Linked DNA regions of Macaca fascicularis. The protein of the gene in region 1 purifies or fractionates together with the protein of each later gene. This does not show direct contact. Links are inferred from orthologs where the notes say so. Each region holds a gene or a part of one and is shown on either strand. Other genes may lie near its edges.

What was found.
Region 2: the proteins of MPDZ (region 1) and PLEKHA2 purify together in Homo sapiens (affinity purification with western blotting; 3 studies listed by BioGRID and IntAct, with this or other methods). This does not show direct contact. The link is inferred for Macaca fascicularis from reciprocal best matches to the Homo sapiens genes MPDZ and PLEKHA2.

The regions. Positions count from the first base shown.
Region 1 is NC_088389.1:85,600,546-85,609,881, reverse strand, and holds the start of MPDZ (multiple PDZ domain protein), read right to left. Parts: upstream 6,017-9,336; 5' UTR 5,733-6,016; exon of another isoform or gene 5,660-5,732; intron 1-5,659. UniProt on the Homo sapiens protein: Member of the NMDAR signaling complex that may play a role in control of AMPAR potentiation and synaptic plasticity in excitatory synapses. Promotes clustering of HT2RC at the cell surface.
Region 2 is NC_088382.1:42,349,741-42,358,297, forward strand, and holds part of PLEKHA2 (pleckstrin homology domain-containing family A member 2), read left to right. Parts: intron 1-1,014; coding exon 1,015-1,112; intron 1,113-6,119; coding exon 6,120-6,260; intron 6,261-7,425; coding exon 7,426-7,572; intron 7,573-7,907; coding exon 7,908-7,976; intron 7,977-8,557. UniProt on the Homo sapiens protein: Binds specifically to phosphatidylinositol 3,4-diphosphate (PtdIns3,4P2), but not to other phosphoinositides. May recruit other proteins to the plasma membrane.

The DNA.
Region 1 (9,336 bases):
CTCTATCATCATGGTTTTGTTAGGTTAGTGGTATCTCATGAACACAGAAGGATAGCTTCTCATGACCATTTTCTATGACAGTTCCCTGAAGCAAAGTATCCTATGGGGCCACCTGAGTACATAATATAAAGTTATTGTGAAATTAACAATATGACTATTAACGCTTAATTTTAAGCAGAGATCAAAATTTTTAAAAATACATTCTCCACTGGTGTCCTATATGCCATGTGGTAGTGAACTGTATCATACCTCTTCAAAAGACCTGAGACATCAGTTCAAACAAACGCTATTAGTATCAACTCAAATTATATGAACGTTTAATAATCTCAGATCAGATTATGCTTACTGAGAAAGACAGCAATTGGTGAAATCTATTGATCAACAGCTCTATCTATTCATTTGTTATAACAAAATAATGTAAGTATCTTCCTTTTCAAAATATGTGTTTTGGGGATTTTCTTGTGGGAGTGGTATATGGGTGATCCAATTACAGGCAAGTTTTCTGTCTTCTTTTCACTTGTACCTTCCATACCTTTTTAAATGTGCTATTTACTAAAATAAATAATTACCTTGTGTATTTTTAAAAATAAGCAACAACAGTAAGTTTTTCCTTAAGTTTTGTGTTTTTCTTTTTTTTTTAATAAGTGTTTCATTTTTCACTTTCTCCTCATACACTTATTTATAACACCTCGGATCTGCAAGTGGTTTACAAGAAAATAACAATGAATGTTGCTTTTGCAGACACAAATAAAACTAAAAGGTGGATAAAGATAAGAATTCCCTAAACAAAACAAATTTAACCACTGCAGGCAGACAGGCCAGAAAAGAAAAAAAAAGCAAGAATTTGTCTCTTTTTATCTTTTTTTTTTTTTTTTTTAAACTTAGTTGGCCAGATCTGGAAGAATGGTTCTAATGGTTTCGTTAACTCAACAAATACAACTGCAACACCTAAAAAACATAAAATAAAAATAAAAAGTTTTTATTTTATGTAACATAAAATCCCTTTTATTAATCATATTTTCCCAAAATGGGGAAACATTTCTGAAGGAAAAAAAGATTATGCCATATATTACCCCACAAAACATGTATAAGAAAGTTTTTAGATCAATGGAATTTAAAGAATAAATTCTGTTGTTTTAATCAGACTCAAAAACCACTGAGATATTTACAACACAATGTTTCAGCTTTGCCAAATTTAGCGCTTTACTATTTTTAAGAACCATTAAAAGAAATATTTTAAGAAAACAAATGCTTTTATAAAACACTTCAAAAGAAAATTAATGCTCTGTCCACAAAAAGGAAGGTCATAGAGGCACAATTTCCCAATGAACACCCAGAGAAAGAAAATAAGTGGCCTCAGGCCAAAGATAAAATACCTTTGTCCTCAAATAGCAGTTTCCCTTTCTTGCCAAACATCAGATTACCCCAGTAATGATCAGACTATGCACTAGCCTCCAATATGATCTCACTGCCTCAGGGTCTCACTAGCTTACAGACTAGGTCTCTTTGAGAACCTTGTTATGGGCTAAATTATGTCTCCTAAAAATCCACAGGATATCCTAATTCCCTGTACCTCAGAATGTAACTGTACTTGGACATAAAGGTTAAATGAGGACACTAGGGGTGGGCTCTAACACAATATGACTGGTTCCCTTATAAAAAGAAATTAGGCCATAGACATACACAGAGGGAGAGTATGTGAAGAAACAGGGAGAACTCAGCCATCTACAAGCCAAAGAGAGAGGCTCGGTAGAAACCAATCCCACCAACACTTTGATTTTAGCCTTCCGGCCCCCACAACTGTGAGGAAATAAATTCCCGTGGTTTCAGCCGCCCTCCCACTCTGCGGTATTTTGTCAAGGCAGCCCTATCAAACTAATACAGATTTTGGTACCAGGAAATGGAGTGCTGCTGTAACAAACACCAAAAATGTGGAAGTGGCTTTGGAACTGGGTAACAGGTAATGGCTACAAACGTTTTAGGGTGCATGGTAGAAAAAGACCAGATTGCACTGAAGAGGTTGTTAGAAATATAGACACTAAACGTGTTTCTGGTAAAGTCTCAGAAGGAAATGTGAAACGGGTTACTGGAAAGTGGAAACTTCAAGAGATAAAATTCAGCCTATACTTCATTGCTCTCCATTAATTGCTCTTCCCCATCCAAACTTTTCCCCTGGGCACAAACCCTCTATCGCACTCCAGAAATATACAAATTGAATACGCTCTTCAGTACCCCTGCCCACTCACATCCAAGCCTCTTCCATACACCATGTCAATTTTCAAGGCAAAACCACTGACTTAAGCTCACTTCATACCAAAAATCTTTCATTTCCACCCTCTTATCTCAAGACCAAAGCCCCCTATGTGTGTTATTTACTAACCACAATGATAAGAGCAAGTAATCCCTATACTTAACTACTTTCCTAGAATCCCTGTAACATTTTTTATGTGTAAAACCTTTCTATAATTTCTCCCATTAGATTCTTGCAACTAAGACCCTACGCTACTGGAGCAGAATCGTATTTATTCTGTGTTCTCCTCAATGCCTAACCCAATACAACAGTCTTCCTAATCCACCTATTACTACCTATTACATGAATACCTCGGATCTTCTCTGGAAACATATCACAGGAAGGCAATGGATTCCTCACCACTGGTTTCCTTTATTGAGAAGTAGTTATTTATCTCCTTAGTCTTATTATCCCACATGGAATCCCACTAAAATTATTTAATCACAATATATCAATGTTACCATGCTAAATATCATTTCCGAACTGTACTTATATAAATGTTCCCCTTTGTATGACACTAATTTACAAGAAAAAAATGAAACTTTTATTGTTATAAATATGGAGTTGATAATGTATGTAACAATATCAAATGAAATCCTACTTCAAGCCAAATAACTATTTTTAAAAGTACATGTAACTGTTTCGGACATATATCATCATTTATAGGCACCATCAAGCAGTCCTAAATTCACCAGGAAGTTGTCTGCTTCTTCACTTTAAAGTGTAGGATCTTTCTCTGGCAGATGTGCTATTCGCTCTACCATATTTGGGGACATTCTGGTCCAACTTTGCCTCAAAATATTTCATGAAATTCAGAGTACTTTGTATGTTTCCAAATATACAAAATGTAGCCAACCTGCAACTCAACCTGAGAGACAAGACTATGTCGGATCTGGGATGTAATCTGGAGAAAATAATCTGCCTCTAACTCAGGATAGCTACGTTCCGGGCAATTCATTGTTCTTCTCCAGCTTTTAAATCCCTTAATCCCAATTCTAGACAATGGATTCACTTCATCATTTGTCAAGCAAAATCTCTCCATCCTAGCAGTTAAAAACTAAAAGTGGCCAACTAGGCCTAAATCCATGAAAGTTACATTTCAAGGATTTCCAAGAATCTCTCTCAATAGCTTCAACTTGTAGAAATAAACTAGACTCTGAGAACAGCTTCTATTCCTCACAGTTAGGTGCATTTAAATGCATCTGAAAAGGAAAGATGTCTTTAAGGGCCAACCAGAGCAATGTCTAGGTGATAGGACTTTGAAACACATTAAAAACTGACTAATGATACCTCCCTTTCCAAGCCACAACCATCAGGCCCAGTCAATAAAAAGAAGTGTGGTAAAGAGACAAAGAAAACCAGAACTAGAGAAGGTACGTGAAAAGAATAAACACAGAAAGGAACAAAGGGAAAAAAAGAAACATGTAAGAAATAAGGTACACCATAATCTATTAGTAATACGTTGAGAATAATCTTCCTAAGTTTGTTAGTTTTGGCAAACGAGATAGGAAAGAGGAATGGAGAGTCAAAGGGTACCCAAAACTAGTTTTGCCTACGTTGCACACAAGGGCACAGGTGCATCCATCCAAAGCGCGGTATTGTATTAGAAGATCAGGTCAAAGAACTTCAAGTTTTGCTAGGTTTTTATTTATATTTTTTATTTACTTATTTATTTATTGAGTCAGAGTCGTCTCGCTCTGTCGCCCAGGCTGGAGTGCAGTGGCATGATCTCGGCTCAATGCAACCGCCGCCTCCTGGGTGCAAGCGATTCTCCTGCCCCAGCCTCGCTAGTAGCTGGGACTACAGACGCGTGCCATCACGCCCCACTAATATTTGTATTTTTAGTAGAGACAGGGTTTCATCATGTTGGCCAGGATGGTCTTGAACTCCCGACCTCAAGTGATCCACCCACCTCGGTCTCCCAAAGTGCTGGGATTACAGGCGTGAGCCACTGCGCCTGGCCAAGTTTTGCTAGGTTTTTTAAACACTATTGTTTGCCGAAATTCCATCAAGTGCTAAGGCATACATTATACAAATTTAGATGGTTCCAACATTACAAGATGTTCACTGTAATCACTCACACCCAAATTCAACATGTAAAACTCCCAAGCCCGAAGCCATCACCTCCTCCTCGTTAGTTTTCAGATAAGGTGTTATTCTATAAAAGGTAACCTAAACCAGGAATTTCTAGGGAAACACGAAGGGGATGTTTACATCAAACTATCTACAAGGCAGGTCAAGGCAGTCTGGTCACTTATCAGATTCCTTCTCTATGACATCAAAAGAACATGGAGAAGTTTTCCTTCTAGGCTGGTGAAGTCATAGTCCTCTTATCTATCTGGTGATACCTACCAAACACTAGCCTCCAACCACAGCCCCCACTGCACAAAGACAGTGCCCATTGCCGGGGTCTTCCCAAGCAGAGCACCTCAACAGCGCCACCGCGGAGGAGAGGTCCCCGGGGACCCCCCACTCGCCCCCAGTGACTGCGCAGTGGCCTCCACCTCCCGCCGGCGCCTGGCCACTTCTCCTCCCCCGCAGTCTCCGCTTGGATTTCCATGTGACTGCAGGGAAGAATAGCCCGGCCTTTGTGCCTCTACAAAGAATGCAAGCAAAAATGTACACCATCACCACCCGACAAACGCGGTACTCCGCAAGGCACAAAGCGTCTCCCAAACATCGCTTCCCTAGGAACATCCGGCATCCTGGGGCTGCCAAATCACAGACAAAGGCGCCCATCAGAGCGGGGGGTGAGGGCATTAAGGGAGAGACAAGACCAACATGCTCCCACCAACGGGAGCTGCGGTTAAAAGGGCATGGGCGCCAGGGGTGGGGGACGGGGAACCGGTACCAATTAGCGGCTTGCCTTGGGGTCCCCGAGGCTAAGGCGAGAACGCAGGACCGGGAGCATTGCTGCCCACTCTCTACCGCACCCCGCGCAGCCCGGCACCGCGTAACGGCGGACAGGGCATTCGGGCGCGGCCCCGGCAGCGGAGAGCAACAGGCTCCCGCGCCCCGGAGGCCTGGTCTGCGCTCCGGACCCCCAGGCTAACACCCCACCCCCCGCCCCCCGACACCAAGACTGTGCCCCTCTGGGTCAAGGAAAAGGAAGAACTTTTAAACCTCTTAGAGTCAGCGAGAGCAAAAGAAAGGGGTAGGGGTGGCTGAAAGGTCTAGGATTATCCATCGCGGGGGTGGGAGGAGTGGAGACTTGCGAGTAGCAAAGGAAACTTCTAGACCCCATCCTTTTAAAAAGCCACAGCAGCGGCATCCGCGAAGCGCCTGGCCGCGCGGGGTGGGGCAAGCGCACCGCCCCACAGCCCGCCACCACCCCCACCCCCGCGCGCCGAGCCCCGGGCGCCCGCGCACCTTCCCCGCCGGCGCGCGCGCAGGGCGCGGGGGCGCGCCTCGGCCTCCGGGCCTGGGCTCACGCGCCGCTTACCCGGCTCGCGGCGGCCGCCCAGGGCCGGGACGCGAGGGGGCAGAGGGCTAGGGAGCAGGGGTCGCCGGGGCCTCTGGATGCCTCGCTTCGCCCACGCTCGCTGTCTTCTGAAGTAACGGCCCGGCGAGGAGCTTCGGGATCAAAGCGCACACTCACGCGTGACTGAGAAACTTAATCCCGCGGCGGCCCGACGCCAGCCTCGCGCTCCGCCGCGCCCCCTCCCCCAGCGCGCGCCGCACTTGCGCCGACCGGGGCTGCCGCGGAGGCGGCGGCGGGGCCCAGGCTGCTGGGGCTGCCGTGACGCCTGCGACCGGCGGGGCGGCGGGCGCGCCTCGGCCAATCAGGGGACGCGGCCTAGCGGGCCGGTGCGGGATTTTAAACTCGCTCCTGGGCCGCTAGGCCTGGGGTGTGGGTAGTGGACTTATGAGGTGGTCAGATAAAATACAGACTGGCCTGTTAAATGGGAATCTCAAAAAAGGAATAATTTTAGTACAAGTATATCCCTTGCAATATTTGGGACGTACTTATACTAAAAAGTTCTTCATTGTTTATCGGAAATTCAAATTTAATGGCAGTCTTGAGTTTTTATTTGCCGATTTTGTCAACCTGCGGAAACTGATAGCCTGTTTCTGGTTCCTCAGATTTTTCTTATGTGCACTGCCCTGAGGATGCTTTCTGCATGGGTAGCTTACTAAGTGGCATAGGATGCTGATGAGAAGCGCTTTAATCAGAAAGCGGGGCGGGGGTGGGGGGCAGTCGTCTCACTTTCTAAGAAACTTTTCGCACATCAGGGTGCATTCTTAGTCTGATGATCCAATTTAAAAGCAAAAACAGTAAACATGGAAAAGTTATTAGAGTTACATGGCCCCAGGAAGAACAGATATTCATTTTTTATTTTGTGCCACTTAAGATTTTCTTTCTGTTATCCTGAATTTGGAAGTCCCACGAAATTTTTTCTGCATAAGAAACTCTTTTTCAAAACATCTCTCTAATATTATAGGACCAAAGGATACTCAGAAGTCCAATTTAGAACATTTAATAGAATTTCTTTTATTATTCTGAATAAAAATACTCTTTTCCCGTATTCCTTGGCCTTTCAAACACAGTCACAGCTGTTGACCTCTCTCTTCCTAGAGCCCTCCCCACCCCACCCCTCCTGTAATTCCATGCAATCACACTCTTGGTTTTGCTCCTTCCTCTTAGTCAAGGGCGGAGGTATGGGCTCTGAAGCTTGTACAATTGGGGGTCTGCTTTAACAAAAAACAAAACAAAACAAAACTTTCTTTTGAAAAATCGAAAAATAAACGTCCCTGTAAACACATTGCTAGGGTTGCTCCCAGGCAAGAGAAGGACCCAGAATGTTAAACTACTTCAGTTTCCAGGTAGATCTGCACCTGTCACTAGGCCACTCTTCAGTCTTCTTTGCCACCTCTCCCCCAACCTTTAGATGCTGGAGTTTCTTAAAAATCAGTTACGGGCCCTCTTTTCCTTTTAACTCTTACCTCTAAATACGTTTTCACTTCTAGCTTATCATCTAGTAGCTATGGAATCTTTCTTACATTCATACCTTCAGATTTATCCATATATTCAAGTGTTTATTCGACTTCCCTCTTTGCTTGTCTCAAACCTAGATTGCAAAAAAAGAAAAAAATGCAACCATGATACTTCTGCTCAAGCCTGGTCATCTTCCACAGTTCAGTGTCCCAGTGAATGGAACTGCCATAGATACATGATTCCCACAAACTAGGATAAACCCATTGTGATGCATTCTTATTGTACCCTATGCTTTTGCTTCATAATATTTATCCTATTTTGTAAATATGCATTTAATTTTGTAATTATGCAATGTCTCTTCCCACTTCAACCATAAACCCCATGAGAACAGGGGCTAAGTCACCATTTTATCCTCAGAGCCTAGTAAAAACTTCACACTTGGTTGGCACTCATATGAAATAGGATGAATATACAACTGCAAGAATGAACAATTTGTCCATATAACTTTTGTGTTCTTGTCATAGAGTCATCTCAAGGCATCCCATTTGGAAAGGATTTTCTTATTGCTTAGAAATTCCAAAGGGCTCCTCCTCTTTGAATAGCACTTCTACTTGTCAGTTTTCAAATCTGGTCATTCTCAAATACAAAGGAAGTATGTGCATGAAATGTTAGCTGCTGGGATAGTGTAGGAGGAAAAGAATTTCTTAACTAGCTACTGAAGGAATTCCGTGAGTCCTAAAATTTTAAATGGCGTTTTTTTATATTGAACCATAGGGAAAGAGCCCATAAAACTGAATTAGAGGAAAGTTTTAGAAATTTAACTCTCTGATTTATTGTGGATAAATGAGATTAAAACAAAGGATTTTACCTTGGTTTAAAGGTGCTATTGTTCTAGTCTCCTTTAGCCAAGCAAAATCCATGTGCCCTCTTTAAACAACAGTGTATCAGAGGATAAAAAAAATCTTGTTTAGATTAGTCCTTGCATAAAATTATCCAGCGTTTGGGGATAATTCCACCCAGAAGTTTCTCCTTTTGAAGTTAACCTGCAGAGCTATTGCTCTATTCTCTGTAACTTGTTCTAATCCAGAAAACCTAAGATTTTCTAGAAATCCACCAGGGATATTGCACTAAAAAAAATACCTAAAATAGAAGTTAAAAACATTAAATTAGTTGAAATAAAATCTTGCAGAGAAAGACAAAGTGTAAAGCAGATAGACTCTGTGGGATGGGTTGAAACTTACCCCGTAAGTAAATGGATTAATAATGCTTTCTATTTCATGTCAATATAGCCTCTGGGGTCATTCCACCTGTATCCTCAGTGAGGCATTCTCCACAATAATTTGTTTTTCTCAAATTTGAGTTATATTCAGAGGACTTTTATAAGGGAAAAAGTCCTGGAAACTTCTGAGATTGGTTTAAATGATTGGTTTATTATTTATTGTTCATCATAATTGAACAAGTACAAATATAAACTATGTATATGATATTGTTTTACATTTGTGGCTTCTCTACAACTCTAAAACTAGTGAAAGGCCCAGGTTGTCTACTCAAAACCTTCAACAGCTGCTGAAAAGACAGATCCTGGAAATTGAAGTTTTGATCCATCACAATAACAGAGGATTCTTTTAGTTGCCTGCTGAGCACACAGTCTTCATTCTGCTTTTTAACAGCAGATAGCCAAGGCGTGGGTGAGACCCCCATGCTGGGAGATGTTACTCCAGAACTGCAGGGTTAGAACTCTGTATGAACTAAATCTTTTCCCAAGGACTAAGTGATTTGGGGTAATCCTAATAGTGGGATGATGGGCTATTTCCATCACCTTTAGCCAGCAGTGACTCTTAGTAATAATGCAGCATTTAAATGCAAACTAGATGGCATGCTTGCCAGTCCCTCTACCTAAGGGATATCTAATACATAACAACTGTGCAGTTTTAGTTTATTATAGTTTGTAGATTTTTTGTGTTGTCTATTGGCTGACTGACTTTATGGTTTCAATTTGCCTCAAATGTCTCAATTAAAAGAAGAGTTCAGATAAATTTTTTTTTCAGTTTGTTCAATGTTAAAAAACATTTTAAATCCTTAATTTTTTCTCTCCATTGAAAACAAGTCA
Region 2 (8,557 bases), on another chromosome or scaffold:
TTCCCTTGAGCTATTCTCTCTCCCCACTTCAGATTAGTTAAAACTTCTTTGGTGGCCGGGCGCGGTGGCTCAAGCCTGTAATCCCAGCACTTTGGGAGGCTGAGGCGGGCGGATCACAAGGTCAGGAGATCGAGACCACAGTGAAACCCCGTCTCTACTAAAAATACAAAAAATTAGCCAGGCGCGGTGGCGGGCGCCTGTAGTCCCAGCTACTCAGGAGGCTGAGGCAGGAGAATGGCGGGAACCCGGGAGGCGGAGCTTGCAGTGAGCCGAGATCGCGCCACTGCACTCCAGCCTGGGCAACAGCGTGAGACTCCGTCTCAAAAAAAAAAAACAAAAAAACCCAACCAAACAAAAAAACTTCTTTGGTACACTCATTCTTCTATTTCTTGCAAATTTTATAGCTAAGCTCAGAAATGACTGTCACGTTTTGTGGTTATCAGATCTAAAAAAAATATATGTAATAATAATGAACCTGGAAGTAAATTGTTGACCTAATGGAATGCTCAGAGGAAAGAACAGGTTGAGAGTGAGGCCAAGGTCACAGATTTGATCTCAGGAAAGCTTTGTTCTATTTCCCAACCACAGACAAGACTCCCAGTCCAGACCAGTTGTGCCAGTGGAGACCAAGCATGGGTCCAAAATTCTGTATATACCATGATGACAGTAAACGTATTAGCACCGCCAGAATGCGGTTCACAGTTGTGTCTTGTTGACGGCAGACCAGCAGCCTCATCACTGCAGAACAGCGCACTGAGGCTGCTGTTAACATGGTCAGGTGTTGTTCCTGTGGCCAATGGGATGTTTTTAAAGGTGGGAAAGAGAGTGAGCAGGTGTGGCCTGGGGCTTCCTAAATTCCCAAGGAAATGACTTAGCATCATGGGAGATTTCTTGTTCTGCTTTGTGGAGTTCACTCATCTTTCTCCCTCAAACACCTTAGCTTTGTGGAGACTTGTTGTGTTGCTTGTATTCTGACCCGGGAACATCTTCCCTTCTTTTCTGTGGCTTTTGTAGTTATCAATGCCCTGTCTCAGAGATATTTCCTTCAAGCCAATGACCAGAAAGATATGAAGGACTGGGTTGAAGCCCTGAACCAAGCTAGCAAGATCACCGTAAGTTTGGTTTCTTCTGTTTTCTGGGGGTAGTAAAAGTGCCTCTTCCCAGGCTGTGGCCTTGTTGGGGTTGGGGAAAACCGAGATGGCAGTGGGGACTTTCCCAGGAGCCTGGTCTGTACCCAGTTCTGTCCCACCTCTTCTCGTTCCTTGGCTTACCAAGCACAAGTTGAACTGAGAGTTTGAGTTTGAATCAAGTTCAAGGGGAAGTTCATGGAGCATCCCCTTTGGGCTTCCTGGGAGGGCTCCCGGTCAGTCATGTTTTGGGTGATTCTGGGATGCTGCTTCAGAATGTGGTAGGATTGGAAAATGGATTGCTGACTGTGAAAAGTCAAGTAACGGGAAAAGCATATGGGGAGAGAAGGCAGAACTTTTTCCCAGCTTGGGGGGATACCCTTCTTACTTTCAGAGGCTGCCTGCAGGGTTAGTCCAAGCCATCCGCCTCCCTGTCCTGGAAAAGCCATCTGTTTAAAAGCATCACAGAGCTAGTTCATGGACTGTCCTACAAGTGTGCTCTTTTTCCTTGAGTTGGCTCATGAAGAATTCCTTTCCTTTTCCTTGGAAATACAGAAAAAGAAAGGAAGAGGGTAGGAAGGATGGAGAGGGAAAACTATATGTTTTGGAAAAAACTAGACTTTTAATCAATAAGACAGGCAGACTCCTGGCTTATATAGATCATGGCTTGTATGCTGAAAAGTTTGTTTCTGTATCATACAGTCAGAAATGCTTATGTTTGAGGGGCTTCCAATAGTGACTATTACGTGCTGCAGCAAATTATCCTCCCAGATTTCTCAGGGTTCCTGTGAACAACTGTATAGAAGAAATGTGTACACATATCTAGTATTCGTGTTGCTAGACCTAACCTGAGTATAATTGAGTCCTATAAGCAGTTTTGCTGATTAGCTTCTTATTCTGATAAACCTTGGTAAACCCGTGAAGAGAGAGAGTGATGAAAAGAGAGAGGATGAATGGCTGGGTGCAGTGGCTCAGCCTTGTAATCCCAGCACTTTGGGAGGCTGAGGTGGGTGGATCACCTGAGGCCAGGAGTTTGAGACCAGCCTGGCCAACATGGTGAAACCCCATCTCTACTAAAAATACAAAATTAGCCAGGCGTGGTGGCACATGCCTGTAGCCCCAGCTACTCGGGAGGCTGAGGCAGGAGAATCTCTTGAACCTGGGAGGCGGAGGTTGCAATGACCCGAGATCGTGCCATTGCATTCCAACCTTGGCAACAAGAGTGAAACTCTACCTCAAAAATAAATAAATAAATAAATAAATAAATAAATAAATAAATAAATAAAATAATAAAAAATTAGTGAGGCCTGGTGGCTGACACCTGTATTCCCAGCTACTCAGGAGGCTGAGGCAGGAGGATCACTTGAGCCCAGAAGTTTGAGGCTGCAGGGACTTATGATTTTACCACTGTACTTTGGCCTAGGCAACAGAGTGAAACCCCATCTCTTAAAGAAGTCTCAGGTAGTGTAAGCAGCTTTGGAAAGGCTCTGCATGTTGATCTGAAGCAGTGCATGACACCGGAGCATAAGCGGTGACAAACAGTGTTCTTTGGGATTTTGAGAGGAAACACAGCAGCCAAGCTTCTGTTCTTCCTTTTCTGGCCACTGGGAACTCTAAAAAGTTACTTTCCGGCTGGGCGCGGTGGCTCATGCTTGTAATCCCAGCACTTTGGGAGGCCAGAGTGGGCAGATCATGAGGTCAGGAGTTCATGACCAGCCTGGCTAACATGGTGAAGCCCCATCTCTACTAAAAATATAAAAATTAGCCGGGCATGGTGGCGGGGACCTGTAATCCCAGCTATTTGGGAGGCTGAGGTAGGAGAATCACTTGAACCCAGGAAGTGGAGGTTGTAGTGAGCTGAGATCGCGCCATTGTACTCCAGCCTGGGCGACAGAGTGAGACTCTGTCTCAAAAAAAAAAAAAAAAAAAGTTAATTCCCTCCTTCTTTGCTGGGTTTCAGGAATTCATCTGGGTCATTTAGGGGAAATTTCTGCCTGTTCCATGGTGATTTTAATCACTAAATATCAACTAAAAATCAACATCCCTAAAAATGTGGTTACATAATAACAGAACTCACAGAAAATGAGAAAGAGTAGCTTAGGTAGGTCGTGACGTATAGCAACAAGGAGTCAGGCAGTCCTAGAGCCAAATCACTTGATTTTAATGAGCTTGAGTTGACCTCATCTATAAAGAGAAAATCATGCCTGGTTGATAAGATTAGTGATAGTGCAGCAAAGAGCTTATCAGTGCATTGCCTGGCACTGAATGGAGGCCCAAAAAAACTGTAACTGTTGGTATCTCTCAGCCAGAAGGAAAATAGAAGGCGGAATTTCTGGCCTGATTTGGAGAGGTAGGGAGGGGGCAGAGGACACCCTTGTCTATGTAAACTGAGTGGGCAGTCCAGGAAGAGAAGGTCTCGTCATCTTTGTGGGGGCCCAGCATAATCAGGGTGCTCTTATTGTTTTGAACAGACACTAAATGACAGGGCTCTCATATAACTCTGAGCTCTTGAAAGGGTCTGGATCCTTAGGTCTTTCTGACTCTGAAAGCTGTAGAAGTGGGAGAGAACCTTAGCTTTTCTCTCAAAGTCCTGGTGACGTCCCGGCAGATAGATGTAGGGTGTTGCATTCTCCTAAAGGTGGGGCATTGTGATGCTGGGGCACTGGTGGGAAGTCAGGATTTAGTAGACATTCAGCCGTATTTTTGTTTTTGTTTTGAAACAGAATCTCGCTCTGTAGCCCAGTCTGGAGTGCAATGGTGTGATCTCAGCTCACTGCAACCTCTGCCTTCTGGGTTCAATCAATTCTCCTGCCTCAGCCTCCTGAGTAGCTGGGGTTACAGGCGCCCACCACTATGCCCAGCTCATTTTTGTATTTTTAGTAGAGACAGTTTCACCATGTTGGTCAGGCTAGTCTTGAACTCCGCACCTCAGGTGATCCACCCCCCTCGGCCTCCCAAAGTGCTGGGATTATAGGCATGAGCCACCGTGCCTGGCCAACATTCAGCTGTTAATCCTGGCTTTAGGTAAATGACTCAACTGTTCTGGGCCTCTTTTTTTTTTTCTTTCTAACAAAATGAAAGATTTCCTCAGCATTTGCAGACTCTAGTGTAAATGAGTGAAGTAGGCAAGGAGGAAGAAACATGAGAACAAGAATGAGGATAAGTGACATCTGACCCCTGGCCTCTCCCATTCTGCTGGGGAGAATGGTAGAGACTGTGCAAACACAGAATGCATTTTCTATCTAAAAGGGAACTGCTGCAGAGCTGAAAATCTGGATTTGTCTGTGAAATATCCCAAAACTTAGATGCAGATTTTAAAAAAACACTGCATGTGACTAACAAAACATTATTTGGGCAAAGTTGGTGGGTGGGCCACCAATTTGCAACCTCTGGCCTGTGATTTCCAGCTAACCATAAAAATTCTATGATGGGCCGGACGCGGTGGCTCACACCTGTAATCCCAGCACTTTGGGAGGCTGAGGCCGGCGGATCACGAGGTCAGGAGATCCTGGAGACCATCCTAGCTAATACGGTGAAACCCCGTCTCTACTAAAAAATAGAAAAAATTCGCCGGGCGTGGTGGCAGGCGCCTGTAGTCCCAGCTACTTGGGAGGCTGAGGCAGGAGAATGGTGTGAACTCGGGCGGCGGAGCTTGCAGTGAGCCGAGATCGTGCCACTGCACTCCAGCCTGGGCGACACAGCGGGACTCTGTCTCAACGACAACAACAACAACAACAAAATTGTATGATGATTTGATCAGCTGTGGTACCATATCTCTGTCAAGGAAGAACAAAGATAACTCATTCTTCCAAAAGGGCTCTGTGTATAATTATTAGTACCACCTGGAAGCCTTAATTAAAATATTTTGTAATATGTTTTCCTCTTAGTTGTGTTTCTAAAGCATTTAATATATTCTATCATTTGATAACCACAACAATGGTTATGATAAATATTATTCCTCTTTTCATTTTATACATGAGACGGTTTAGGCCTAGAGAGGTCTGATGGTTGCCAAAGGTCGCTCAGGTGGTTTGTGAGAGATGAAGGGTTATACCACAAGCCTTCTGGCTCCAGACTTCATGGACCCCTTGTTCTGTCTCTACAAAGGCATGCACTTTTACCTGTTCCATCTGCCCAGAATGACTTCTCCCAGCTTCATGTTCCTGATTCCTTTTCTTAGTTTATTATTTTTTATTTTTTTCGAGACAGGGTCTCTCTTACCCAGCCTGGAGTACAGTAGTGTGATTATAGCTCACTTCAGCCTCCAACTCCTGGGCTCAAGAGATTCTCCTACCTTGGCCTGTTGAGCAGCTATGTGCTACCACACCTGGCTATTTTTTTTTTTTTTTTTTCCATTTTTAGTAGAGACAGGATCTCACTGTGTTCCCCAGGCTGGTCTTGAACTCCTGGGCTCAAGTGACCCTCCTGCCTTGGCCTCCCAAAGTGCTGGGATTACAGGTGTGAGTTCCCAGATCTGGCCCCCAGCTCCTGTTCACCCTCCAGGTTGCCGTTTGAGTGTCTCCCTGCCTCCTCCTCTGGAGACCTCCCTGCCCACTCCGTTTCCAGCAGGTCCCCTGCTGTGCGCTGCCTCAGCTCCCTTGATCTTCTTTGTGCCACTCACCACCACTTGTAATTACTCTGTTTTATGTATTTTTTTTGTCATTCCCCCTACTAGCATGTAAGTGCCATGAGGGTGGGGACCCACGTGTGTTTTGCTGACACTTTATCTTTGGTTTCTAGCCAGGGAAGGGCTGGCTTATAAGTAGGTGCTCAATAAATTCCTGGAGTCAGTTTGTATCTGTGTTGGGGGAGGGCGTTGCTGGCGGAGACGCTCATATTCAGATTTGGACTGCGGAAGGCCTGGGGAGGACCTGCAAGTCTGACTGTAATTTGGCACATTAGCTTTTCTCACGGCACCCCCATTCTGCTTTGGGCTCCCCATGTTTCCTAAACGTTCTGTTCCCCATTGACTGTTGCTGCCGCTCTCCCCAGGTACCCAAAGGTGGGGGCCTACCCATGACCACTGAAGTTCTCAAGAGCTTAGCAGCTCCTCCAGCCCTGGAGAAGAAGCCACAGGTGGCCTACAAGACAGAGATCATCGGAGGGGTGGTGGTCCACACACCCATCAGCCAGGTGAGGGGCCTGACTGGGGCTGCGGGGGGAGTGGGGGTGTAGAAGTGTCCATGGTGTGCCTGTGATGTGCTTGGAGCACTGTACTGGGGAAAAGGAGGGTGGGAGTTGGAGGGGAGCTGGTGCCAGTGGAGCCATCAGGGAAGTACAGGGCATGTTACAGCCCCATTCATGGGTGTTAGTGACAGCATTGCAGAAGTGCAGGCCACTGCATCTTGAAGCCGAATGGCCTGTGCAGCTCTCTGCTGGACACAGGAGACACGGAAGATGAGGGTTTGTGAAACCCGTAGGAAATGGGATAGAAGAAGGCAAACAAGGCTGGAAACCAGCCCGGTGTCCCTCCTGGTTCACATTCTCTGTCGTTCCCTTTCTCCTGGGTCGGCCCAACCTCCCTGATGCTGGTTCTGTGAAAGTACCCGGTAAAGTGCATGACAGAGCAAAGGAAAGGTTTATTTTCCTGTTTTAATTATTTATATTTATGTAAGTTTTTTTTTTTTTCTGAGATGGGGTGTCACTCTGTCACCCAGGCTGAAGTGCAGATACACATAATCACGACTCACTGCAGCCTGCGCCTCCTAGGCTCGTGCAATCCTCCTACCTCAGCCTTCCCAGGCTCAAGTGATCCTGCCGCCTCATCTGGGGCTACAGGCATGAGCCCCCGTGCCTGGCTAATGTTTTTTTTTTTTTTGGTGGAGATGGGGTTTTGCCATGTTGTTATTTAATTTTTTAGACAGGGTCTCACTCTGTTGCCCAGACTGAAGTGCAGTGGTGCAATCATGGCTCACTGCAGCATCAGACTCCTGGGCTCAAGCCATCCCCCCATCTCTGCTTCCTGAGTAGCTGGGACTACACACCTGGGTAATTCTTTTTTTTAATTTTTAAATTTTAAAATGAAAATTAAACAAAAATTTTAAAACAGTTTTTAATTTTTTTGCAGAGACTGGGTCTCACTGTGTTGCCCAGGCTGGTCTAGAACTCCTGGGCTCAAGCGATCCTCCTGCCTTGGCCTCCCAAAGTGTTGGGATCACAGGCATGAGCCACTGTGCCCACCATTTATTTCTTCTTTGACTTAGGGCAAAGAGGCCAGAGATTCAGGCAGGGGGAGGCGGATGGGGCTATGGCTGCATAGAGGCAGGGAGGCGCTGATCCTGACACTGTTTCCTTGCAGAACGGTGGGGATGGGCAGGAAGGGAGTGAGCCTGGGTCCCACGCCATCCTTCGAAGGTCTCAGAGTTACATCCCCACGTCAGGCTGCCGTGCTTCCACCGGGCCTCCCCTCATTAAGAGTGGTTACTGCGTGAAGCAAGGGAATGTGGTGAGTGTCAGCACAGGGGCTAAACTGGGGTTCTGGTGACTCCTCAGAACCAGTAGCTGTAGACATAGCAGAGGTGAGAGGAGATTGACAGGAGGTGCCTCAGTCCTCCATGGAGCCTCCACCTTTGAGGGTTGACCATTGGCTGACCATTGGGGTCTGACCATTGGCTCCCGCCTGTCAGAGGTGTCAAGCCTGATATGAAGAAGCCCTTTCCCCTGCTGAATGTGGGGGCCGGATTTCTAGGGGGCTGGGTCTCTGGGAGCTTAGCATGAGAACACCCTCCACAATGCTGGGCACCTCTTGCTAATGTTCTGCCTTTTATTTTGTTATTACAGCGGAAGAGCTGGAAACGTCGCTTCTTTGCACTTGATGACTTTACCATCTGCTACTTCAAGTGTGAGCAGGTTTGTAGTAGCTTTGCTGCCCTTCTGAGAGGTCATGGAAACTAAGAGGTGCACAGATGCACACCCACAGGAGAGTGTGCATGAGTGGAGATGTGGGCACACAAAGACTTCAAAGGCACCTCTGTCTTATCTCCATCCATTCTGTGCACACATCTTTACAGTGACAGTAAAGTGTCCTCTCAGCAGTGAGTTGCTGTGTGGTCAGAATCACAGCTACACAGCATCTTCTTAGGTTTGTTTTGTCTTTTTTCTTGTTTTTGGAGACATGGTCTTTCTCTGTCACCTGTCACCCAGGCTGGAGCACAGTGGTGGATTTTTTGTAGAGACAGGGTTTCACGATGTTGCCCAGGCTGGTCTTGAACTCCTGGCCTCAATCCGTCCTCCAGCCTTGGCCTTCCAAAGTCCTGGTAGTACACGCAGCAGCCACTCTGCCCAGCCAGATTTTTTTTTCTCTTGCTGATTATTTTGAGACCGGGTTATTTGTCAACCTGATTTTAGCCAACCATCTCTGAGAAAGGGGTATTTGTCAGCTGGTCTTGGTCATGATATGTCACAGGCAGCCTCACTTACCTGTCTTTCTG